3 linked regions of the Mus musculus genome follow. The protein of the gene in region 3 purifies or fractionates together with the protein of the main gene of each other region. This does not show direct contact. Links are inferred from orthologs where the notes say so. Each region holds a gene or a part of one and is shown on either strand. Other genes may lie near its edges.

What was found. Proteins that work in one complex are often made in the same cells at the same time.
Region 1: the proteins of Pds5a (region 3) and Cdca5 purify together in Homo sapiens (affinity purification with mass spectrometry; 4 studies listed by BioGRID and IntAct, with this or other methods). This does not show direct contact. The link is inferred for Mus musculus from reciprocal best matches to the Homo sapiens genes PDS5A and CDCA5.
Region 2: the proteins of Pds5a (region 3) and Smc1a purify together in Homo sapiens (co-immunoprecipitation; 8 studies listed by BioGRID and IntAct, with this or other methods). This does not show direct contact. The link is inferred for Mus musculus from reciprocal best matches to the Homo sapiens genes PDS5A and SMC1A.

What each region holds. Positions count from the first base shown.
Region 1 is NC_000085.6:6,083,837-6,087,899, forward strand, and holds the start of Cdca5 (sororin), read left to right. Parts: upstream 1-1,260; 5' UTR 1,261-1,326; coding exon 1,327-1,372; intron 1,373-1,561; coding exon 1,562-1,653; intron 1,654-2,565; coding exon 2,566-2,631; intron 2,632-2,715; coding exon 2,716-2,751; intron 2,752-4,063. Other genes in the region: Zfpl1 (zinc finger protein-like 1), read right to left, coding at 113-224, 516-617. UniProt on the Homo sapiens protein: Regulator of sister chromatid cohesion in mitosis stabilizing cohesin complex association with chromatin. May antagonize the action of WAPL which stimulates cohesin dissociation from chromatin.
Region 2 is NC_000086.7:152,015,170-152,019,230, forward strand, and holds the start of Smc1a (structural maintenance of chromosomes protein 1A), read left to right. Parts: upstream 1-1,258; 5' UTR 1,259-1,362; coding exon 1,363-1,471; intron 1,472-1,550; exon of another isoform or gene 1,551-1,717; intron 1,718-4,061. UniProt on the Homo sapiens protein: Involved in chromosome cohesion during cell cycle and in DNA repair. Central component of cohesin complex. The cohesin complex is required for the cohesion of sister chromatids after DNA replication.
Region 3 is NC_000071.6:65,695,430-65,699,656, forward strand, and holds the start of Pds5a (sister chromatid cohesion protein PDS5 homolog A), read right to left. Parts: upstream 2,808-4,227; 5' UTR 2,321-2,807; intron 1,509-2,320; 5' UTR 1,469-1,508; coding exon 1,334-1,468; intron 1-1,333. UniProt on the Homo sapiens protein: Probable regulator of sister chromatid cohesion in mitosis which may stabilize cohesin complex association with chromatin. May couple sister chromatid cohesion during mitosis to DNA replication.

The DNA of each region.
Region 1 (4,063 bases), on a different chromosome or scaffold from region 3:
AGGCTCTGACCTCCACGCTTGAGGGACTCACTGTCTTGCTTCTTGAAAGATGCTATCAAACCTGTATCCAAGCTGGATCCTGGGGCTGCCCTGACCCCTTCCCAGGCCTCACCATAGCAAACAAGACGGGTGGTCTCCCGACTGGCCAGGGGTGTGTTGCACAGGCGGCAATTGGGGTTGTAGTCACTATCTTGTAGCCACTGCAAGTAGGACTGCACGATGCACTGGAGTGGGAGAGAGATGTCACAACTGGTGCCCCAGGCTCCACGATGCACACACCACTCCAAGGCTCAAATGCCTCGTTTTCTCTCATCAGACTCATCATTTCATCTGTTCCATTTATTGAGTGACCATTTATTGAGCAGCTACTGAAGGCATAGCAGAGCGCATCACACCCCATGTTCTTGCCCTTGTGGAGCTTACAGTCTAGCATAGGTCCCCACATGGATTTAGAAGTAGGCAATCTTGTCTGCCCACCCACCCGCCCTGCTCAGACACTGCTCTAAACGCCCCACCTTGGCGTGATTGGCTACTAGGCAGTGCTCGCAGACGTTAACTCGGTGTTCGAAGCAGAACAGGTTCGTCACCTTCCTCTTGGGGCACTTGCAAAGTCCCATGACCGATCCTGGAGGGTGTGGTGGGGTGAAATCAGTTAGCAGGAAGCCAGGTTTTGGTGGCTGCCAGTTTGTTTTCACCAACCCAGTTCTCTTCTTTTAAATCTCTCAGTCCCGTCTCACACCAGTCCCAACACCAAATTCTAGCATAATGCCTTAGCATGGGTAAAGCCACGTCTCCTGTACAGATCGTACCACAAACGACCGACCCTTCATTCCATCAAGACCCAGGAAGGCCCTCGCCAGATCTCTGCACAGCTCCAATACCACCAGCCCCGCCCCCAAGACCCACCCCCTCTTGACCCGCCCCCAGCTGGCCGACCACATTCTGGATGTCCGCGAACCTCCGCGATGCCGATCGTGACCGGTGCGTACGGTAATGAAAAGCGCGGAAGGCCGGGGACTGAGCTCACCAACTCCGGTAGCTGCAGCTCCGCTCCCTTCAGGTCCGGCCTGATTATCCCTCCGCTGCCACGTCTCTTCCGGGTGCGGCGCACGCTGATGACGCCACAGCGCCGCAGGATACGCCTCTGCCTTTTGCTAGCTAGACGTAAAGCCTGTGACAACAAAAGCGGATGGTCCGCCTCCGGCCTGTGTCACTTCCGCTTTCTCGCTAGCAAGGCGGGCAATTTGAACGTTTGAAGCAGCAAAGTTCCCGGTTGGCGCGAGCCTGAGTAGGCGACCGCGGCGGAGACTGAGCCCGACCGTACACATGGCGGAGCGGCGAACACGATCAGGAGGGGCTGCCCAGCGGTCTGGTGAGCACGGGAGCAGTGGAGCGGGGTTGTTTGGGGAACAAAACTTGGCTCCCGGTGGAAGACGCCCCAAAGGGGTAGTTGGAAAACGACTTTTGCTTTTCCGAACTCGTCAAGCATCTTGTTTCGTTTGTTTGTCGCCTTTTCTTCGAGCAAAGTTTTGCTCACCATCAAACGTGTTTTCCTTTCCAGGGCCCAGGACTTCACTTACTAAGCCTTCGAAGTCGTCCAAGCGGAAATCTGGCTCAGATCTCCCGAACTCGTTCTCTGAAATCTGGCCGAGGGTGAGTTCCTGGTCCCCCAGGTGTTGGGGTTGGGTTTGTGCGCTGCGTATTCAGATGCTAATTTCTATGCCTAGGTATCCTTAGTCCGGCTAACTAGCACCTCCGGGCTCACTGTTGTTTTTTTTTTTTTAAATCATCTCTGATTGGTTGATAAAGAGCTGATCAGCCTATGGCTGGGCAGGAGAGGACAGAGGAGGCGGGACATCAGCGCCCATTGAGGCGTCCGGAAGAGTCTAGGGAGAGAGAAGTGGGAGAGGGGGAGGCGCGGAGAGAGCAGGTGGTTTCACTCTAAGGTCAAGAGGAGGGAGAGAGCAGTCATGAGGGCACACATGGACCAGATTGAGTCAGAGTAAGACTGAGATTCAGGTAGAGGACCGTGTGACTGGTAGATAGGCAGCCTGAGAGGGTTAGAGTAGCTCAGAACCTGCCCAACATAGTGCCAGCAGCCTTTGAATAACAGCTCTGTGTCCTTTACTCAGGAGGTAGTGGCGTTGGGGGGAAGAAATGCCCTGCAGTTATTTGGGAGCAAGGGAGTCAAAAAACTCCCGCCCAATGCTTCCACAGTTGGTGCCCAACATGGTGCAAGAACTTACAAACTTAGAACCAGGCTTAGAGGCTGAGAAGTCTTGGATAGAAGATAAGGAAAACTTTTCTCAGCAACACCCCCAAAGTACTTTTTTTTTTTTTCCTCGAGACAACGTTTCTCTGTATAGCCCTGGCTGTCCTGGAACTCACTTACTTAGTAGACCTGGCCGGCTTCGAACTCAAAGATCCACCTTCCTCTGCCTCCCAAGTGCTGGGATTAAAGGCGTGCACCACCACTGCCCGGCTCCCAAAGTACTTTTACACTGACCTAGAGGGCTTTGAACTATTGTAAAGCTCATGGATAATACTTTCTTTTACCCCCCCCAGACAACTCCAGCGGTCCCAGTCAGAAAGGCCATCGTCTTGAAGAAGATCGTAGCTCATGCAGTAGAGGTGAGGGGCTGAGAGAAGGCTTTGGGAGTGAGATGTCAAAACTGGGCTTAGCTATTGATTGATCAGTTGATGTCATCCCTACAGGTCCCAGATGTCCACACGGTTCGAAGAAGTCCTAGGGTGAGTTCAGTTCTGTTTATTTCTGTTTATTTGTGTAGGATTTACCCTTAGAGGGTAGGCATACACTTCTACCCAGGCAACTGCTTCATGGCTTGTCAGTTTAGGTCTCAGTGTATAACACTGTTTCCTGAACTGGAAGTTACGGTAGACCAGACTGGCCTCAAATTCATAGAGATCCACCTGCACCAGTCTCTGCAGATAGATTCAAATCTTAGAGATGGGCATGCTACCAGGACTGACTGTAGTTACCAGTCTTGTTTCCTGCCTATGGGTGTCATTCATTTCTTTTTTTTTTTGGGTTTTTTTGTTTTGTTTTGTTTTGTTCCCCAGAGCTGAAAACCACTGAGCTAAATCCCCAACCCCAACCCCTCATTTCTAGTTCTTTATGCTCTGAACATTCTCACTATTTTTCTTAAAAAGTTATGGTTTAACCACTGGGCTTCTGTAGACTGTTTTGCCACTGTTTTGTTGTGATGTTGTGATGGCGCACGCCTTTAGTCGCAAGATTTGGGAGGCAGAGGCAGGCGGATCTCGGAGTTTTAGGCCAGCCTGGTCCACAGAGTGATAAGGTTGTTTTGCTGAGTGTTTATTTATGTTTTGTTTGTTTGTTTGTTTGTTTTATGGTTATAGAATGAGTTATGTGTAGGGGCTGGAAAGATGGTTCTGGGTAAAAGCAGTTTTCAGATTCCATCAGATGGACCCTACACACCTACAGCTTCAGTTTGAGAGTATCCAACGCCCTCTTCCGGACACATGCATACGCAGTGTAAAAGGTGCTGGGTGCTGGTGCACACCTTTAATTCCAGCACTCAGAAGGCAGAGGCAAGTGGATCTCTTTTGACTTATAGGCTAGCTTGGTCTACAGAGTGAGTTCCAAGACAGCCAGGGTTACCTGTGGCCAAGCCTGGCCCTGAATTTAGTATGTGCGTAAAGCTGGTTTTGAATTCCTGATTTTTCAATCTCCCAAGTGTACCCAGTGGTGCTTTGCTCTCTGACCAGGGTTGTGTTGCTGGCTGGCTTTGGTACTCTTCCTGCCTGGTATTTCTCAGTGTCCTGGGAATTGCAGACGTGAGGCAAATTGCCAGTTTGATTTGTTATTCTGATGTGTGTGGTGCTGGAGATCTATCCCAGGGCAGTACTAAGCAGGTACCCTGCTGTTGAGATAATCCCAGCCATCTTGTGATGGTGGAGGTGGGTTTTCAAGTCCTAGAACTTGCTTTGAAGACCAGGCAGGCCTCAAACTCACCGAGATTCAACCCCCACCCTAGTGCTAGGGTTAAAGGCATGCACTACCCCACCTAGCTTCCCAACC
Region 2 (4,061 bases), on a different chromosome or scaffold from region 3:
AGCTGTGGAAACCACCAGACTCTTTCCATATCTAACTGAAAATGGCACTAACCCCGGCCTATAAAGACAATCTGTTGTCACAATAGGGGGATGATTCAGTAGACATCCTGGGCTGCTAAGATCATGACTATAAGGTGATAGAAGGGGAATGAAAGAATGAAGAAAAAGGGGATGGAAAAGAATTGGAGAAGGACAGGGTATAAAGGAGAGAGAGGAGAGAGGAAGAGAGGGGGGAGAGAGGAGAAAAAGAGGGAGGGAGAGGGAAGGAGGGGAGAGAGAGGGGGGAGAGGGAGAGAAAGAGGGAGGGAGAGAGAGAGGTGAAGAGGTGGAAATGGGGGAAACTTGATGTAATGGAGGGAAAAGGACAGAGTTGGAGCGAGAGAGGGAGGGAGGAGAGAGGGAGAGGGAAGGAGAGGAGAGAGAGGGGAGGGGGAGAGGAAGGGAGAGAGGAGAGAGAAAGAGAAAGGGAGGGAGAGAGGAGAGAAAGGGGGAGGGAAAGAGACAGAGGGGAAGTGGTGGAAATGGGGGAAACTTGATTTAACAGGGAGGGAAAAGGACAGAGCTGGAGCACTGGCTTAAGGACCTGGACTCCTAGTGTTCACACAAGATACCTTTCTCAGTACAGAATTCCAGTTTTGAAGCTCGAAAATGGATTGGACCCAAGTTGACTCTTGGATTTACAACGGCAGTCTTTAAATTCTGCTTGGAGAAATAAGAGAGAAGCAGACGATAGGGGCAGTATTTCAGAACACAGCCTTTCCCAACTTGTATCTCTGTTGTCTAAGAGATACTCTCATCGTCCTCACACTCTAAGCTCGCCTCATCTAAGTCCTCCCTTTGATCCCTCTTCCATCCCAAACTGCCCACCCTTCCGAGGGCGCCTTCCCATTCCCGACTGAATCCTTGGCTGAAGCGCTTCTCCCCGTCTCCCCCCTTGCTGGCTAGACTACAAACCCCAGCCGAGCTTCTGCCTCCCACTAGCTCTGGCAGAACCTTGAAGTGACTTCTTTCCCAGCAAGCGTGGGCTCAGACCCCGCCTGCTTGCTCTGATTTCCCCCGAAGTGATCAGAGCACTAACGCTTCCCGTCCTAGTTGGCGGCCACTTCAACAGTTGCTGGGTAACTACGTAGAGGGGCGGGGCCTGAGCGCCCAGCGCGTGCTCCAGCCGGGCAACAATTCAACAAAAGCGCTATTTCAGGCGGAAGTGACCATTTCTGGCCCCGGAAACAGGAAATCGTGATTGGCTTGGACTTATTATCGCGAGGCTTACTGTACACCCGGCTTGCACTGCGCTATTTCCCGCGCGGGCTAACCTCGTTCCCAGGAGTAAGGCGCGGCCTTTCCTACGCCAGCGCCGCTGTCATGGGTTTCCTGAAACTGATTGAGATCGAGAACTTTAAATCGTACAAGGGTCGACAGATTATCGGACCATTTCAGAGGTTTACCGCCATCATTGGACCCAATGGCTCTGGTGAGATTAAAACCGGCTGTGGCCCTGCGCGCGTCCCGGTCCGGTTCCCCCTGCTTGTCTGCAAAGTAGTACAACCTACCCCCATGCAACCCGAGACATTGTGAACCCTGAAATGTTCCTTGATCCTCTTGGTGGGGCTTGGATCTGAACTTGCTTTCCCTTTTGGCATACACTGAACTCGAGTCTCTTCCCAACTGTCAGTTGGCGGAGTTCGGCGCAGACCCCCTCTGGCCCGAATGGTATGGGCCGAACCGTGCGTCGCCCCGCCCACTACCCCTCCCGCCAAAAGAGGCGTTCCCGAAATTTGCTGCCAGTTGTTTGGCCCGCGGCTTCCTTCCGGTCTGCATTGTTCCACCTTCCTAAACTTGTTTGACACCTCTGGGAAAATTTGGGAACCGTAACTCTGCTTTGGCGTCCGATCCCAAGCTGTGTACTTTGTGCTCTACTCAGCCCTCCCCGCACCCGCACCTCCCGATGGAACGCTCCACTCTGATTCCTTTCCCCCCCCCCCTCTCTGCTGTGGCACTTTTGAATTTCTGACCCAGCGTTCCGCTCAGCAGCGTGGGATTGCGATGCCCCCCACCCCTCCGCATGCCCCCCACACGCCTAAGAGATTGTTGCTTTGATTTGCCTTTTTCCTACCAGAAAACCGTAAATAAGCCTGAACTTGTTCGCTTGCCAAATTGGTGGAGGGTTTGGGGTTTTATCAGTTAAGTTTATGCGGGGAGAGCAAATCCGAGATCGCGGGAAAGGAGAAGCAAAGTACAAAATAAGATAACACTTAGGCCATTATAAATGTTTTGTAGAAAAGGGGTTAGGCTGATAAGTTAGAGTGACTTTGATAGTAACCCTACTTTTTCATACTTAAGCCTACTATTTCATATCTTAGTTTTTGCTGTATAGCTCGTAGTTTCCTCTCACCCATCTCTAGAAGTATTCGTTATGAATCTTTGCTGTGTTCCTCCACTCCAGAGATATTCTAGTTTACTCATTTTCTAGCCTGCTAGGCCACCCTTACCTTGAAGTAGCTCATAGCGAATACCTTCACTGGACTCTTGCTTGCGGTTTTGTTCTCTGTCTAGAGCATTGTTTCCTAACACTAGCTCTTTAGCCACACACTTTCTCTGTGCGGTTGGTTCTGTGCATTGTAGAATGTTTAGCTGTTTTCCTGACCTCTCTCCACTAAATGACAGCACCTCCACTCCCCTGAAATGCCCATCAAAAATGTGTTCGGACAATGTCAGAGTTTGGAGTGCGGGTGGGGGTGGTAATGACGGGTTACTTACTTCCCCTACTACGGTTTAAGAACCACTGGCCTAGAGGGTTGATGCTTTGAGTTCCACTAAATTTCTTAGGATTTTGGTCTTGTGACTCTTGTAGAAAATGCTTGGTTGTACCACTTGTTGAAATCGAGTTCTCTCAGCGTTGTTAGAATTAAAAATCCAGCTGTTTGGAACAGGCCTGGGTTCTTACCTCTCTATTTTTTGAGGGGGAGGGGTTGCCAGACAGGGCTTCTCTGTGTAGTCTTGACTGTCCTGGAACTTCCTCTGTAGACCAAGGTGGCCTCCATCCCACAGAGATCCACTTGCCTCTGCCTCCCTAGTGCTGGGATTAAAGGTGTGTGCCACCACTGTCCCACCTTTTGTTTGTTTGTTTGTTTTGGAGATAATTTCTTATGGCCTCAAACTCTTAAATCCTCTTGCCCCTACCTCCCAAGTGCTAGATTTATAGCTGTGTTTTACCACACCTGCTTTCTGCCTCTGCATACCCTTCAAAGCTTGGCACCATGAAGCATTTTTTGATCTCTGATTCCCACTTTGTAAATTTATTTTTGGTTACACATTTATGGTACATTTTTTTTCATCTTCATCACTAGTGCATGAGTGTTCTCAAGATGCCATTCCTTGAGATGTTTTATTGGTATATAGTTATTGTTAACATTTGCATTAGAAGAATCTTTCCAACACTTAATGACTATAGTAAAAGAGGATTGTACTTGTGAGATGTGATCCTTGAAAATCAAGGGAGAAGTCCAAAGATTGGAAATTGGTGGTTACAAGACTAATTCCAATTTATGTGATTTACTAGCTCTGCTGCAACTGGAGAGAGAGTTGACTCCAGATTGAATACTGATAGATGTGCCACTTATTGAGCACCAAGTAGATCTTGGGTTTTTGTTGTTCGTTTGTTTTTAAGATAGGATCTCATATCCCAGCCTGGTTTCAAATCTGACTTTCTGATCTTCCTGCCTCCATCTTCAGAGTGCTGGAATTACAAGTGTGTACTTCCACACCTGGTTTACTTGAGAGTTTGGGTTTGAGCTGAAGGTCTTGTGCGTGCCTGGCGAGCACACTCTCAGCTGGGTCAAGTCCCCAGCCCCACGAGGTTTATTTTTTAAGGTTTTAACAAACGAGTAGCAGAATGAAGGACTTTGGGCTTGAAGCCTGATGATACGGAGACTGTTTTGTCATCCTGTCAGTTGAAGTAAAGGACTCGCTGACAGTTTTAACTTAAGGAATGACTAGGTTTCTTCCGCTTTAAAGCAGAGGAAATACCTGTTTCCTAAGGCTTTTGGATAAGCTAAATTGGG
Region 3 (4,227 bases):
CAACCTTCCTATTGCTTCCTCATGTTGTGGTGACCTCAAACAAAATAATTGCATTGCTACTTCATAACTGTAATTTTGCTACTGTTATGAATTACAGTGTTAATACCTAATAGACAGGATATCAGATAGTTGGGGGGGGGTCTCGACTCACAGGTTGAGAACCACTGTTGTTGGCAGGGTGTGGTTATGCCACTAGTGTTTTGGGAAGTGGAGGCAGGAAAATGGTTAAGTTCAAGGGCAGGCAGCTGGGTTACTAGTCCTCTTTTTTTTTTTTTTTTTAAAGATTTATTTTACTTATATGAGCACACTGTAGCTGTCTTCAGACACACCAGAAAGGGCCATCAGATCCCATTACAGATGGTTGTGAGCCACCATGTGGTTGCTGGGAATTGAACTCAGGACCTCTGGAAGAGCAGTCAGTGCTCTTAACTGCTGAGCCATCTCTCCAGCCCACTAGTCCTCTCTTAAACAAGTCATCAAACCCATTCTTTGCCTCTCCCACTGTCCACACTGTACTTCAATAGTTTAAGATCTTTCACTAGACAACTGTTAGCCTCCTCACAGAACGTCACAGCCTACTCCCCACAAGCCAACTGTGACAACCAAAATGACTCTGAAATTGCCTACAACACCCCCTGGTGCATCAAAGTTGTCCAAAGTGACAATCACTGCTCGAAACTGATTCCATAACAAACACTGCCCTATGCAGTAGCAGAAAAGTTAAGTCCCAAAATGACAGCGCAAGATTGTTACACCAAGAAAACCGGTGCGCACACACAAACACAAACTCACAGACATATCAACAATCCCGTCCTTCAACTCTCTTGGGCATGTGTACTAAAATCATCATTTCTCCTTAAGCTCGAATTCTGAAAAATCTGTACACTGTATTAAGTTTAGCCCACTGTATAGATAGTTAAGCTCCCATTAGAAAATTACGAGAATCTAAGGGGGACAATATGGTTGTTTGTGCTCAAGTCAGTCTTTTCTTGGAGTAGATAATAATAGGAACTTTCGTGGGTAAAATCACTGTCTACACCTCAGGGTATCGAGCCCCTTAAACAACATCCACTAAATAAAATAACCACAAGGGAAACAACTAACCATGCATGCGTTCTTATGGACAGAAAATGATCACACTCTTTAAATTCCCCGTCCTTTCAGAACTTATCCAAAGATACCGCCAAGTTAGAACAGGACTTTTCCGGGGCGGTTAAGATATCTTCAAAAACTTAGTACTAAAAACTCCAAAGGCCAGGTTGAGAGTAGTCCAATGAAACCACACGAGTCACAAAAGCCATCCAGAGCGCAGATCGCCGACCCAGACCCTTACCTTCAGACGTTTGATCATTTCATCGGTGGTGATCTTGTCGGTGATCTCTTTTACTCCCGGAGGGTAAGCGATCTTCCCGTCCGCACTCACGACGCCACAGAGGGCAGTGGCAGGCTTCGGCTGCGTGAAGTCCATCCTGGGGAATAACTTTTCTCTCACAGTCCTCTACCGGCCTCTATCGGTCAGAAAATCAAAGTTCAGCGGGAAAAGGGGCGACTTTGTAACCTCTTTTTCATTTCAAAAATCTCTAATCTAGAAAGGGCCCTTTCTTCCCCCCGAGGCCGGGGACCCCGCCACTCGCTCCTTCCCTGGGTTTCGGACCCGGCTAGGCGTCCGCCACCCCCACCCGAGCCAGCCCCGGTGCCACGGGGTTCTCGGCTGCAGCAGCCCCGGCCGCGAGAGGCGCCGAGCAGCTCCCGGAGTTTCCTAGCCCTCTTTTCACAATGAAATGTATCCCCGAGCACCTAGGACGGAAGTTTGGTGGCCTCGGGGGGACATTGAGGACCCAACGGCCCCACTTGGCTCAGGAGAAGCGGCTGGGTCCCCGCCTGGCCGGTCACCTCCGGGAAAGGAGACTCGAGGCCTAGAGGGTTCAGCTTAGGCCGCAAAACTAGGTACCCAAGAGGACCCACGCGCGGCGCCGGCGCCCGGGAGCAGAACGCCATAGCCGTGCCGAGCCCCGGGCTCCCGGCGTCCCCGCCGCGCGGCCGCCCCTCCCCGGCCAGCCCGCCACCCCCGCCAGCCGCCCGAGCCCCTCGCCAGGAAGCGAAGGACCCGGCTCCGCACTTCACATTTTTGTTCCTTAACTTCAGCAACCGAGCCCGGCGGCATCTCAAGCCCCTCGGTCGCCCGGCGCTCCTCGGCACCGCCAAGGCCTGAGCCGCCGCTCCGGGCAACCCCGCCGGGCCTCCGCGCGCGCCCTCCCCTGCGGTCTCCCCTTCCGTCCCTCCCTCGCCGCCGAGGGCGCGAGCCCGGCCGCCGCTTTACCTCCTCCTCATGCGGGCGGACGGTGCAGCGAGCGCCGGGCCTCTGTCAGGTGGTTGCGCCGCCGCCGCCGCCCCTCGTCGGGCTGCACACAAAGCGGCTCCGTCCGTCCCGCCGCCGCCGCCGCCGCCGCCCGCCCGCCCCGGAGCGGCGCTGGGGCTGGCGGTGCCGAGGAGCAGCCGCCGCGGGGGGAGAAGCGGGCCGAGCGTGCGCCGGCCGGGGCGACACTGCCGCTCTCCGTCGGGCTGAGGAAGCGCAGCCTCGGCCGCGGCTCCTCCGAGAGCCCGCGCGCGGGTGCACGCCCGCGCGTCCCCCGCGCCCGCCCGGCCGCTCGCTCGCTCGCCGGCCGGCCGCCCGCACCTCGCGCCCACCCGCACCAGACGCCCTCTCGCCGCGGCGCGCTCCCGGCCCGCCCGTGCCCCGCGGAGCCTGAGCGTCGCCGCGCACAGCCGGAGCCCGTCACGCGAGCGGCGCGAGAGCCCGCGAGAGCACCGCGCGCCTCGCTCCCGCCCCTTCTTCCGCCGGCCGAGCCCCCGCCTCCCTCGAGCCCGACGCGGCCGCGCGCGTGGTGGACAGCGCCGCCACCCGTTTGGCGCCAAGACCTGCCCGCGCGGGCGCCTCCGGGGGGCCGGCAGCCGAGCCGGCGCGCGGAGGAGGAGCCCCGGTGGCGGGAAGCGGACCCCGGGAGGCGCGGCTTTGCGACACTCCCGGCCACCGCTGTCGCGGAGTCCGGGGCTCTTGAAGGCTTGGCTGGCGGGGATGTGACCGGACCGGTGGAGAAATGGTTAATTATCTGGAGAAACGGCTGCTTTCCCCTCCAAACAGAGCTCTGGAAGCCGAGGCAAAGTTTTACAACTCGGGCTGCTCATTCTCGCGTCTTCCGGAGAGTCGCCCTAGGTCGCAGCCTACGACCTTAGTTAGACTCCTACCATTAAGGTTTTCAAAGCTGCAAAATAGGAAGTTGGCATGCGATCTCAAGCTATGGTGCCGGGGCTTCTGGCCTCCCAGTCATTTTGGGTACAGGCTGAAAACACAGACTAGGGTTCCTGATAGTGAAGCCCAGAAGAAGAAAGAGGGAGGGTGTTTTTAGAGATTTACAAATTACCTATGTGAATCTGAGACCTCTTTTTTTTTTTTAAGTTGTGAATACACCAAAGCTCTACTTTTTCTCTCCTCCAAAGGAAAGGCTTGCCAAAGAAAACTTAGTGCAGCGGTGCTTGAGCAATTTAAGGTAAATATTGAAGCGAATGAACCTGAACAATACACACATAATTTCAGGAAACCACCTTTTAAAACAATAAGCAAGCCGGGCAGTGGTGGCACACGCCTTTAATCCCAGCACTTGGGAGGCAAAGGCAGGCGGATTTCTGAGTTCGAAGCCAGCCTGGTCTACAGAGTGAGTTCCCGGACAGCCAGGGACAGCCAGGGCTACACAGAGAACCGTCTCAAAAAAACAAAAACAATAAGCAGAAGGGGGTGATGGTGGTGCACGCCCTTAATCCTAGCATTTGGGAGATAGAGGCAAGCGGATCTCTTGAGTTCAAGGCACCCTGGTCAATCGAGCTAGCTCCAGGACGTCAGACAGCCAGGGCAACAAAGAACCCCTGTCTCAAAAAAAGTAAAAAATATTAATAATAATAATGAAAAGAGGAAGAAGCTAGGCCGTTATGGTTCACGCCTTTCAACGGGAGGCAGAGGCAGGCAAATCTTTGATTTCGAGGCTAGCCTGGTCTACAGAGTAAGTTCCAGGATGGCCAGGGAAACCCTATCTCAAAAAAACAGAAAGAAGAAGCTGGCAGCAATTGAATTTATACATTGTTCTTTAAAATGCCCACCTTTTAACTGGCCTATGGTTGCAGCTAAATCAAAAGATTTAGGCAAGAGGATTTTTTTGAACTCAAGATTTCCAG